Linked DNA regions of Saccharomyces cerevisiae S288C. The gene in region 4 interacts genetically with the main gene of each other region. Each region holds a gene or a part of one and is shown on either strand. Other genes may lie near its edges.

The links.
Region 1: mutations in FRM2 (region 4) and FIT2 together harm fitness more than expected from each alone (negative genetic interaction), as found in Saccharomyces cerevisiae (one large-scale study listed by BioGRID).
Region 2: mutations in FRM2 (region 4) and YLR162W together harm fitness more than expected from each alone (negative genetic interaction), as found in Saccharomyces cerevisiae (one large-scale study listed by BioGRID).
Region 3: mutations in FRM2 (region 4) and ECM4 together harm fitness more than expected from each alone (negative genetic interaction), as found in Saccharomyces cerevisiae (one large-scale study listed by BioGRID).

What each region holds. Positions count from the first base shown.
Region 1 is NC_001147.6:1,057,817-1,060,553, forward strand, and holds FIT2 (Fit2p), read left to right. Parts: upstream 1-1,714; coding exon 1,715-2,176; downstream 2,177-2,737. Other genes in the region: YOR381W-A (uncharacterized protein), read left to right, coding at 607-774; FIT3 (Fit3p), read right to left, coding at 2,625-2,737. UniProt on the Saccharomyces cerevisiae protein: Involved in the uptake of non-siderophore and siderophore sources of iron. Has a role in the retention of iron in the cell wall and periplasmic space.
Region 2 is NC_001144.5:487,659-490,482, reverse strand, and holds YLR162W (uncharacterized protein), read right to left. Parts: upstream 911-2,824; coding exon 554-910; downstream 1-553. Other genes in the region: RRT15 (Rrt15p), read right to left, coding at 1-77; YLR161W (uncharacterized protein), read right to left, coding at 1,142-1,486. UniProt on the Saccharomyces cerevisiae protein: Overexpression confers resistance to the antimicrobial peptide MiAMP1.
Region 3 is NC_001143.9:580,461-583,895, reverse strand, and holds ECM4 (S-glutathionyl-(chloro)hydroquinone reductase), read right to left. Parts: upstream 1,614-3,435; coding exon 501-1,613; downstream 1-500. Other genes in the region: MSA2 (Msa2p), read right to left, coding at 1-243; YKR075C (uncharacterized protein), read left to right, coding at 3,146-3,435. UniProt on the Saccharomyces cerevisiae protein: Active as '1-Cys' thiol transferase against beta-hydroxyethyl disulfide (HED), as dehydroascorbate reductase and as dimethylarsinic acid reductase, while not active against the standard GST substrate 1-chloro-2,4-dinitrobenzene (CDNB).
Region 4 is NC_001135.5:74,125-76,846, reverse strand, and holds FRM2 (type II nitroreductase), read left to right. Parts: upstream 1-1,561; coding exon 1,562-2,143; downstream 2,144-2,722. Other genes in the region: amino acid transporter AGP1, read left to right, coding at 1-829. UniProt on the Saccharomyces cerevisiae protein: Type II nitroreductase, able to reduce 4-nitroquinoline N-oxide (4-NQO) into 4-aminoquinoline-N-oxide (4-AQO) via 4-hydroxyaminoquinoline (4-HAQO), using NADH as reductant. involved in the oxidative stress response.

The DNA.
Region 1 (2,737 bases), on a different chromosome or scaffold from region 4:
TCTTTGGAAGCATTTTTTAACTGTCTCCCACTCTTGTTCCATGACTTAAATTTCTCTTCCTCCAAATTAACTGAATTTTTTTTCTGGATTGATGTTCTTTCCAATTGTTGTGGTAATCCACAGCTGGTATAACATAAAAAGAAGTTTTTTGTAAAAAAAAAAAATTTCTCAGTAAGCATATAAGCCTCAGTGAAATAAAATTTTAACAACTACACGCTATTCTATTCCATTTGCCCTGCTTTTCTCGCTTCGTTATCACCTAACCACTAAGAACATACTAATAATACAAAATTTTTATCCACTTTTTACCAACAGATTTTCATGAAATATCCATCTTCTTTCCGAATTCTGTATAAAATGAAAGAGAGATTTTTTGCTCTCAATCCAGGCTCAAGGCTCTTGAGAACAGGTAATTGTTGTTTAGCACGTTTTCAACACATTTATCAGAAAACGACAGTTAAAAATAAGACGAGCGGCGTTATCATCCTGATAGTCACTAAATGAAAAGCAGGTACTTTTGAAGAGCACATGTAATATTTGCTCAACTGATAATACCTTCATTTTATACACACTTCTAATTTTTTTTTTAAAATCAGATACGCATTGATGTTCAATGTAGCATTACCATCACAAGACAAAAAATCAGAATTTTACAAGCAAAAGCGCTTATCTTTAAGGACCAACATATTAGATGAATTCTTAAGGGTTGCCAAAACGCAAGACAACAGGCAAAATAATTTCGTTTCTCAGTACCGAAATGACGAAATATACTGAGGCAAATGCGATCATCATGCCTTTGCGCCAAGAAACTCCCTTGTGAAGAACTTCAAACCGAAATGGGAAAACTTTGAGTTATTGACAGGGAATACGGAGGGGAAGATCACACTTAAATCCGTATGAGCCGCGCACATAATGGTATTCAAATACACAAGAACATTCATGAGCTATTTTTCATCCGTGCAAACGAATTTACTACAATTGGACCAGAGGGCACCATAACTGGAGACTTTGCTACTGACTCAACGTTGATGATGCGAGTAGTGGGTGTACTGTGATTTGCTCATTTTTTTTTTTATAGAAAGATTCGATTAATGAAAGTCACAGGAGACATTTTTACATAGACATTCCGTATATGTTGCGGGTATCGCGGATGCGGATTAGTGATGCCTTTAACTACATTTCATAGATTTCTGTATACCAATTGAAATGAGTGAAGTAAGCTCCTACAGTGAAATATCTGGGTGCTACTGACGCCAAGCCCTACAGCGATCGGAATGCGGGAACGGAAGTTAACGGGGCTTCCAGAACGGCGGAAGCGAATTGAACGAGGACGGCAAACAAAAACACCCAAAATTTCATTACTTAGAATGACCCTCAAGAGCAGGGTGCAATTTATCAAGCGATCATTGAACTAACTAAGTTCATATCCTGTATAGGATTTAAAACAATGCACCCTAAGTTCAAATGCACCCCCCCTCGCCCCGCAGCGGACCCTTGAACAGAGAACTGTTTCGAGGTTCACCCAATTGGATCACTTGTATAATTTGTAATCGAGTTCGGATAAGATGTATACGAATCTAACTGGGTGCAGTATAATTAGCATTTTATATTACCTAGCAATATATGTATAAAACAGGAATGTGTGCGTGCTTCAGGCAGAATTTTACGGTCCTTGTAAAAAAGTCTATCATAAAGCCATCACAAAACAATAATAATGAAATTCTCAACTATTTTCGGAGCTACTACAGTTATGACTGCCGTCTCGGCAGCAGCTGTGTCGAGTGTAATGACCACTAAGACTATTACTGCTACTAACGGTAATAACGTTTACACTAAGGTCGTTACCGACACCGCTGACCCTATCATTAGTTACAGTACCACTAGAACTGTCGTTGTCAGTAATAGTGATGCTACTTACACAAAGGTTGTCACCGAAGGACCAGATACCACCTCTGAAAAGAGTACAACAAAGACACTTACTTTGACAAACGGTTCAGGTTCATCAACCAACCTTTACACCAAGACCGTCACTCAAGCCGTCGAATCATCTACATCCTCCTCATCCTCCTCATCCTCCTCCTCCTCTTCTGCCTCTTCTTCTGGTGCTGCTCCTGCTGCATTCCAAGGAGCAAGTGTCGGTGCATTGGCCCTTGGTTTGATTTCTTACCTATTATAAGCTCGGTTTCAAACCAGAAAAAAGCTATTAGTTATCGTGTATAGCATATTTATAACTTATCTATGAAAAGCTAATATAATTGTCTTTCTCCTTCAAAAGGCTAGTAAAAAGGACTTTTTTTCATTACGTTTCTCAGTGACTTCAATGTAGCAGTTTTTCGTTTCATCATCATCATCGTATTATTATTATTGTTATTATTATTATTATCATTACTTTTATTAATATTAACTATTTTTTTAGTATGATTTCGGGTATATTTATTTTAATTAGATACTTTTAACCGTTTCAAACAATTAAAGGAAGACCAACGAACTTGAAACAGTATATATACATACATACTTAATGTGTGTTATTAAAATTTTTTTATTCTAACATAACTTCGAAAAAAGGCCAAGCCGCAAGGTGCTTCATAAAAATCGGATATCCCGCATGATTATTCACATATCATTTACAATAACATGACGGCAGCAAGGGCAGCACCCATCAAACCAGTACCAGCGGTGATGGCATCAGCAGCACCGGTGTAACTAGATAATTCAGCGGTGCTAGAGGATGTAGCAG
Region 2 (2,824 bases), on a different chromosome or scaffold from region 4:
TGGAGAACAGAAATCTCCAGTAGAACAAAAGGGTAAAAGTCCCCTTGATTTTGATTTTCAGTGTGAATACAAACCATGAAAGTGTGGCCTATCGATCCTTTAGTCCCTCGGAATTTGAGGCTAGAGGTGCCAGAAAAGTTACCACAGGGATAACTGGCTTGTGGCAGTCAAGCGTTCATAGCGACATTGCTTTTTGATTCTTCGATGTCGGCTCTTCCTATCATACCGAAGCAGAATTCGGTAAGCGTTGGATTGTTCACCCACTAATAGGGAACGTGAGCTGGGTTTAGACCGTCGTGAGACAGGTTAGTTTTACCCTACTGATGAATGTTACCGCAATAGTAATTGAACTTAGTACGAGAGGAACAGTTCATTCGGATAATTGGTTTTTGCGGCTGTCTGATCAGGCATTGCCGCGAAGCTACCATCCGCTGGATTATGGCTGAACGCCTCTAAGTCAGAATCCATGCTAGAACGCGGTGATTTCTTTGCTCCACACAATATAGATGGATACGAATAAGGCGTCCTTGTGGCGTCGCTGAACCATAGCAGGCTAGCAACGGTGCTCTTGGCGGAAAGGCCTTGGGTGCTTGCCGGCGGATAGCAATGTCATTTTGAGTGGGGATAAATCATTTGTATACGACTTGGATGTACAACGGGGTATTGTAAGCAGTAGAGTAGCCTTGTTGTTACGATCTGCTGAGATTAAGCCTTTGTTGTCTGATTTGTTGGCACGAGCCGGCGGGAGCGGGCTCATACTAACGAAGACGAACCAAAAGATACACAGTAGCGGGACGAGAGTCTCGCAGCTGTCTGGCGGGCGGCGAAGTGCGGGTAACGCAGTAGCGGCGCTGTGGGCGCTGCTCGAGCGTTCTGGCAGAGAGGCGGTCCGGGTAAGCGTGTGCTGCATCGTGGCTCTCAGGTCTGTTTCGCTGGTCTGTGAGCGCTGCGTGTGCGTGTGCGTGTGCTAAGACGGGGTCCGGGTAACGTGCTTGCGCGCGGAAAAAAAAAAAAGATTGCAGCACCTGAGTTTCGCGTATGGTCACCCACTACACTACTCGGTCAGGCTCTTACCAGCTTAACTACAGTTGATCGGACGGGAAACGGTGCTTTCTGGTAGATATGGCCGCAACCGAAATAGTTAGGTGTGGCAGCCGTACATATGGAAGCCGGGCGATGGCTCCGCCACGTGCAAAGTGCAGGAGCTTTGGAAAGAGCGTGCATATAGTGATGAAAACAGAGAGCACGGTTGCGAACGGAGGGTCTCACAATGTCTCAAAGGATAAATCTCTTGGTTTGCGGGCCGCATACAAGATATGATTGTAGTTTTTTCAATGGCTCTACTGTCCCACTGCTGTACAACAGAAAATGAGAGATCAGAGAAATAGTATTCCGGAAGCCAGTGGTGTTTACTTATTAGTTTTTTGACGCCACTGCGCGAGTTGCTGCCTAGCTGTTCCTTGGCCAACGCATATTGGAACTTCATTCGACTGATATGCTTACTCAGAGGTCCATTACTTCAAGAATTGTCTCACCTATCGGGCTTGGCGTTTGTACAAGAAGAAACTTTCATCACCTTTGTTTCGCCACCAAATGAAAAAAAAAACTTGCATGGCTTAGGTGGTTCTTTGTCAGAAATATCTTCTAAGGATCAAGAGTCTTACGTGATTCTAATCCCTTGGCAAGTCAGATCTCAAATATGCTCACTCGCAGATGAGTAGCAATGAATGCGACCAAGTGACTAGTGACTGGTGACGACATGAGCCAAGCTGGAACCAGCAGCTTTCACGTCGGCTTATAGCTCTCTATGGGGCAATCAACCACTCATAGTGACTGAAGATCTTTTTAATATAATTACATTGCTAAAAACGTCATACCGCCTTGTGAGCACGATAAACAGCATATGCATTGAGCCTTGTTATTCTTCGGAACTGGGGATAGTAAAATGCGACCCGCTTAGGATGATCAAGCTATCTTTGGGACGGAGTTTTGTCATGGGAGTGGTCATCCTACTGGTGATGCTTCAACATTTGATTTACTAAATTTTGAAATCGGCCGCAGAATAAAACTATTATGTCCAAACAATTGATGGTCGAACCAACGTTAAGGGTTTCAAGTATTGAATTGAACTTTTATGAGTTCTATAATTTCGTTGCGCAAATTCAACTAAACCACCAATATCCCCCCTACAACGCTACACTTTATACCGATAGAGGAATAACGCATAGAGCCTTCGTAGAATTCTTCAACTCGTACGTGATGGGGATTCTAAACCTATCGTCATGTCGCTGTACAAGGCTGCTGCCTGCTTTCAAATTCCCAATTTTACCATGTCCGTTTCGCTGAGCCGAATCGTCACACAAGGTAATTAGTTCTGGGTATCGCTTCAGTATAGCACTGGTTTTTTCCTTGTAAAACCACAGTCTAACAATTAAATGAAGCTTTTCGAAGAAATTAGACCATGTTAGACTGAAAGCAAAGACTCCGGCCCGTTCTGAGGTAAGTTCAATGAAATTGGACAGTTTCTTTTCAAGGTTAGGTTTTGTGTTCGAAAAAAATAGATTACCGCACCTCCTTTCCAAACCCCATGAGTTTCCATTAAGGAAGAGCAACGTCAATAATACCACCTTTTGCAGATGTGATTCAACTCAAGATGCTGTAATCTTTCCCTTCTGACCCTAGATCACCTCATGATATCCTTTTGAGGCAATTAAAGCTGCAGTGTAAACTGTTGAATATCTTTTTGAAACCAAAAAAAAGGACGTTCCACACTTGGCTGCTTTCTTGATAAGCGAGATCTTTACTTGGAGATCTCGCTTAGTCC
Region 3 (3,435 bases), on a different chromosome or scaffold from region 4:
GTTTATAGGCCCCAGTATTGTAGCCTTACCATTTTGCCCAATAGACAGTGAAAATTTACCGAAACTGGAAGACCGGCCGTGAACCTTCATTGAAGACGATGACACAACAATTGAAGGTGATTGGTAATCCAATGAGGAGGGCGTTTGCATTGAAGGGGCTCTGATTGGCGAGAAGATAAGAGTGTGGCTAGATTGCGGTGTGGAGCTGAATCTCTGCTGTTGTTGCGGTGTTGTGTATACCATTGATTGGTTTAAAAACTGCTTCCTTGCTAAAATCTTTTGTAAAACGAAACCGATAAAGAAGAATAACAAACTACAAAGTAGAAGAATGAATACAGCTGTGCATGAATGTCATATTATGAAAATATTTCATTGCGTTAAATATAATTTCCAGGCCTTTTTTTGCACTTTAACGCGTTTCGCGTCAATTACCCAATTGAGTATAGAAAAAGAGGCAACTCAGGGAGATTATAGACATTTGATTATTTAATTACAGCTTGTTATAAAGGACGAATATCTGGCTTGGGTCCCAGGGGCGTAATTCCCAAGGGGTTGATCCTTGTGTGGGAACGCGTGTAGTGTAACTTGATATGGTCAAAATCTGTTGTGTACCTGAAGGCATCATAATTCCAGTATAAATTTCTTACCCACAAATGAATAAATGGATATCCGGCTCTAATAGAGGTAAAATTGCATTTGAAATGTTGGACGTACACAGGATCGAATCTTATGACGGTAGTATACAATCTAATGTCAGCTTCTGTTAATTGATCACCCACAGTGAAGAACTCACCCAAGATTTTTTGTCTATCTTCTTCACCGTATTTGGCCTTCAATTTGGAATATTTGTCACTCAGGATTTTCTCCACTTTGTCCAAATGTTCAAATACGTTGTTGACTTCACTTTCGTAAACTTCTGCTTTCTCTGCGAATCCGGTCTTGTATACACCATTGTTGATGCTGTCGTAAACCCAAGAATTGAAGTCATCGATCTGTGTTTTCAACTGAGCAGGAACAAGGTCCGTTTTCTTGTGATCGTCGTCGACAAATTCATCGAACGCACTAGAGTTCAAAATCCTTATAATTTCGCTACTTTCGTTGTTAACAATTGTTTGGGTTTCTAAGTCCCACAGGACTGGGACGGTGAACCTTGCCGAGTATTGAGGATCGCTCTTGTAATATAAGTCACTGATTCTCTTGTATCCATAGTGAGGCTCATTGGTAGCATCAACCATGAATCTTTGACTGTCATTCTTGATCTCGGCGAAGCTCTTGCTGGAATCCTCTTTAGCAGTTCTAATACCACCTGCAACATCGTGCCAATGTTCCAAAAAATCTTCACTGTCCTCCAATTGCTTTTCCATGTCCAAAAATCTCCATCCTTTCTCGTCAAGGTGCCAATGGACTACGCTACATCCTATAACAGAGGTTAATCCCTTCAAAGCCCTCGTAATTAGTGTTCTATGGGCCCATGGGCATGCAAGTGAAACATACAACCAATATCTTCCCTTTGCTGGCTTATAAATTGGGTGTTGCTTAGAGATTGTTTCTCTGAAGGACGAAACCTGTCTTTTGAAAGCTCCGTTTGTACCACTCGCCCACTGTTTCGACATTTCTTATTTATCTTGCGCAGGGTTTGGGTAAATTCTCGTAAGCACTGTAGTGATGGTAAGAGCAGCGTTACCTAATTAACTACCTTTATACAAGAAATGGAAAAGGGTTGAGAGGGGTTGGACGCTAAGACAAATAAATAGGGGTGTGAAATTTCAAGAGCTGACTAATATCTTAGTAACGGAGAACAACAGAGAACAGATGATAAAACTATATTGATACGTTCAAAAGGTCTTAGGACCGTCTGAAGAGGTGAAATAAAGATGGAAAAGTTTGCGTCACCAAGCCTTTTGCGTCGGTTTCCTCTGTAACACTTTTTAATTCAAAGTGTTAAAATCTCAACTGTATACCCTCTAATTTGCATAATAATGAAACTAAATGTAAAAAAAAAAAGGAAAGAAAATCACTCCATAATCAGGGTAATGAATCATTTTACAGTGTCATTTGCATGTTCATACACATACCCTTCTTGACAGAATGCAGGAAAAGCCTCAACTATTTATCGGACACATTCGCAAATGTCCATTGACGAGTAAAACGTTTCCGCGTCACTACATTCGTCACTACACAACTTTAAAATACCTTATTTTTTTAATTATGCGGAGTAAGTATCTTTGCAGAACTAGATGGTTGGATTGAGCAGTAGGCATCAGTGACTCGAATTGGTGCTCATTTTTATTTTAACGTACGATTTGTTCAGGCCTTGCTATGACAAGCTTCCTGACGAAATCATACTGCAAGATACATAGTCCCAGTCCATAAACTAGTAGAATGACAAAAAGAAACTCAGAACATACATAACACGATAGACAACGTATTCACGGTTTTGAACCCCACGTAGTATCCTTCTAAATGGCATTGCCTTTACCACATGAAAAACTAAGAGAAGAAAGCTCTCTGCACTAATCATTATAAACGACAGCGGACCCGGAAGCGAGTACCCGAATAGGCCGGGGAAGGAAAAGATAGAAAGGAATCTTTTTTTCTTCCCCCCGCTCTTTTTTTTTATGCTTTTTGGGGTTTTTCCGGCAACTTTCAACAGAAATGCCGTAGCCGGAAAAACCGAAAGCGGGGGACAGTGAAGCGTGAGAGGGGCGAGACAGGGGGAACTTGAATGGGGTATTTTGCTTTTGCTGCATTTTTTCCGCTGGTACCTCTATCTTTAGGCGACCGGAAAAATTCATTTTCTCATCTTTTTTTTTTTTTCGTTTCCGACTCGATACTCTTTACAAAGAAACCCCCGCGGGGAAATGTTAGATTTGAGCTTTTTCCGCCAGGAAAAGAAAAAACCTGGGGACATTAATCTTGTTTTTTCTTTCTTCTTTTGTCTTCCCTTGGATGACTGCAGAAAAAGTACAGTTACCGGGTCTTAGCAAAAACAAACATATATATATATATATATGAAAGCGTATGGTCAACACGGTTTTATAGGTTTTACTTTTTGCATTCAGTTCAACTTTGGCCCTTTCTCTTATCGCATTCAGATACTACACACAAGTGTTCATACACACACAAATAGATACATATACAGAAAATGACTAGTTTGGACGATACAATAATTTCGTACCAGAATATAATGTTACTGGATAACATGACCAACTACAACAAGCCTGCGATTGACTATTTCCATCATGAATTTAATGATGCAAGCTTGGAAATATCGGCTTCATGGACACTACTATTGAAGATGCGCAAACATAAACTACTTCGATTACCAAGTTGCTCTTCAGAGGACGTGCTAGATTACAACATGTACCTCGTTAGGCTACATCATTGCCTCTGGAGGCGTTGGTCCATAAATCACTATGGTTTACAGAACTCCAA
Region 4 (2,722 bases):
ATTCCTATTCTTGGCTACCATTATTCTACTGGGTTTCTTGGTGCCATACAATTCCGATCAATTATTGGGTTCTACCGGTGGTGGTACTAAAGCCTCGCCATATGTCATTGCTGTTGCATCCCACGGTGTCCGTGTCGTCCCACACTTCATTAACGCCGTTATTCTACTTTCCGTGCTGTCCATGGCTAACTCCTCCTTCTACTCCAGTGCTCGTTTATTTTTAACTCTATCCGAGCAAGGTTACGCTCCTAAGGTTTTCTCCTACATCGACAGAGCCGGTAGACCATTGATTGCCATGGGTGTTTCTGCATTGTTTGCCGTTATTGCCTTCTGTGCTGCATCTCCCAAGGAAGAACAAGTTTTCACTTGGTTATTGGCCATTTCTGGTTTGTCTCAGCTTTTCACATGGACTGCCATTTGTTTATCCCATCTTAGATTTAGAAGAGCCATGAAAGTCCAAGGGAGATCTCTTGGAGAATTGGGTTTCAAATCTCAAACTGGTGTTTGGGGATCTGCCTACGCTTGCATTATGATGATTTTAATTCTTATTGCCCAATTTTGGGTCGCTATCGCCCCCATTGGTGAAGGTAAGCTGGATGCACAAGCCTTTTTCGAAAACTACTTGGCTATGCCAATCTTGATTGCACTTTATGTCGGCTACAAGGTCTGGCACAAGGATTGGAAACTGTTCATCAGGGCAGACAAGATCGACCTAGATTCTCATAGACAAATCTTTGATGAAGAATTAATCAAGCAAGAAGACGAAGAATATAGGGAACGTTTGAGGAACGGACCTTATTGGAAAAGGGTCGTTGCCTTCTGGTGTTAAAAAAAAAAGCATTTACTTCTTTTATATTTATTCATTTTTGTACTTCTGTTTTGTAGTAATAGCATACGTGTAATGATAGACGATTTTCATTTTAATTCTAGTCCTTTATGAGCGAAGAAAAAAAATAAAAAGCACTAACGATTGCGTGATGGAAGTGGAGAGGAAAATATAAGTGAAATAATATGAAGTGAGAGAAAAATGATTTCCTTTTGTTCTTAATGCAACAGAAGAGGTTTGATTTCATCCGCATATGCAATTTTGCCTTAGTAGGGGTGCAACCGTTTTCGTCGTGCATCAGGAACGATCTTCTTGCCTTTTTTAAAAATCTACGTTAAGAATTTTTAATTTTGTTAAGGTGTAATTAGCATTAGAATGACTGAAGCATTCAGTTTAACCAACTTGTTCTGCGATATTTTTACTTCTGAAATAACAATGTCTGCGAGTGTTACTTGATTATTAATCAATATTTGTCAATGCTCTTCCGAATAATTTTTCAATTTGTCAGCTTTGCTCTGCGCTTTTCCTTACTGCGACAATAAATGGCAAAGGAAAAAAAAATACAGTGTCATTTGCAGATATGACACACTTTAACACCTGAGTGGGTCATCACTACTTTGTGTTTGTCTCCACCCATGTTGTGATCGAAGAGAGATATAAAGGTTGATCATTTTTGGTTTTTTAAAGCTATATACACCATCAAAATCAAGAACACCAGACCTCCAAGCCAAAGAAATGTCCCCAACTGGAAACTACTTAAACGCTATTACAAACCGTCGTACCATCTACAATTTGAAGCCCGAATTACCACAAGGTGTCGGTTTGGATGATGTAAAGAGAACTGTACACGTTATTCTCAAGAATACGCCAACAGCTTTTAACTCACAAGTGAATCGCGCTGTCATTATCGTTGGTGATACACACAAAAGGATATGGGATGCTGTTGCGAGCGCAATGCCAACTGCTGAAGCCAAGAAGAGACCAGAGTCTTGCAGAGATGAGGCTTACGGTTCAGTCATTTTCTTCACTGATGAAGGACCAACTGAAAAACTGCAAAGAGATTTTCCAGCCTTGGCAGCCGCTTTCCCAACATGCGCCGCTCATACGACCGGTGCTGTGCAAATTCAGTCTTGGACTGCCCTCGAACTATTGGGATTGGGGGCTAATTTGCAACACTATAATGACTACGTCAAATCTGCTTTGCCTCAAGATGTTCCTATTGCGTGGACTGTACAATCTCAATTGGTCTTTGGTGTTCCAACTGCCTTGCCAGAAGAAAAGACTTTTATCAATAACGTAATCAACGTTTATCACTGAACAGGAAATTCGCATATGAGGAGATCTTAATTTATCTCATGAAGTAATGATACCTCAGCGATGTGCTCGCTCGTTAGTATGCTTCATAAATTCATTATTATTTTTTTTTGGAAGTGTTTTTCGACAAAAGTTGCATTTTTACGAAGGATATGTAAACTCAAGAAGTACTAAATAAATATAAATACAATTCGAAAATTTGAAAAAAGTAGGAGACAACACTTTCCTTCCTCACGAAGAAGTTAAGCTTGGGTTTGTGACTTACTAACGTCAACGTACAATCGCGTTACAAACAAGATGCTTGCATTCTTACCTTACATTACAAGGACTTAGACGAAGAAAAAGTTCAGAAACACTGCTTACACTATTCACCAGACCCGCTCCTTCTCCTAACATCAATAACGAACAGCACTATTGATGTAAGAACGTCTTAGCTTAGTAATAAAGCTCTACCTTGTTATCGTACAATAATCCAGTATACCGCTTTTACTAATGATTATTCGAGAAAAATCGGACTGTGGCGTTTTACGTGAAAATTACGTAAAGAAAAAGATCCTGGGGTGCCTCGAGCTTTTCGGGCTA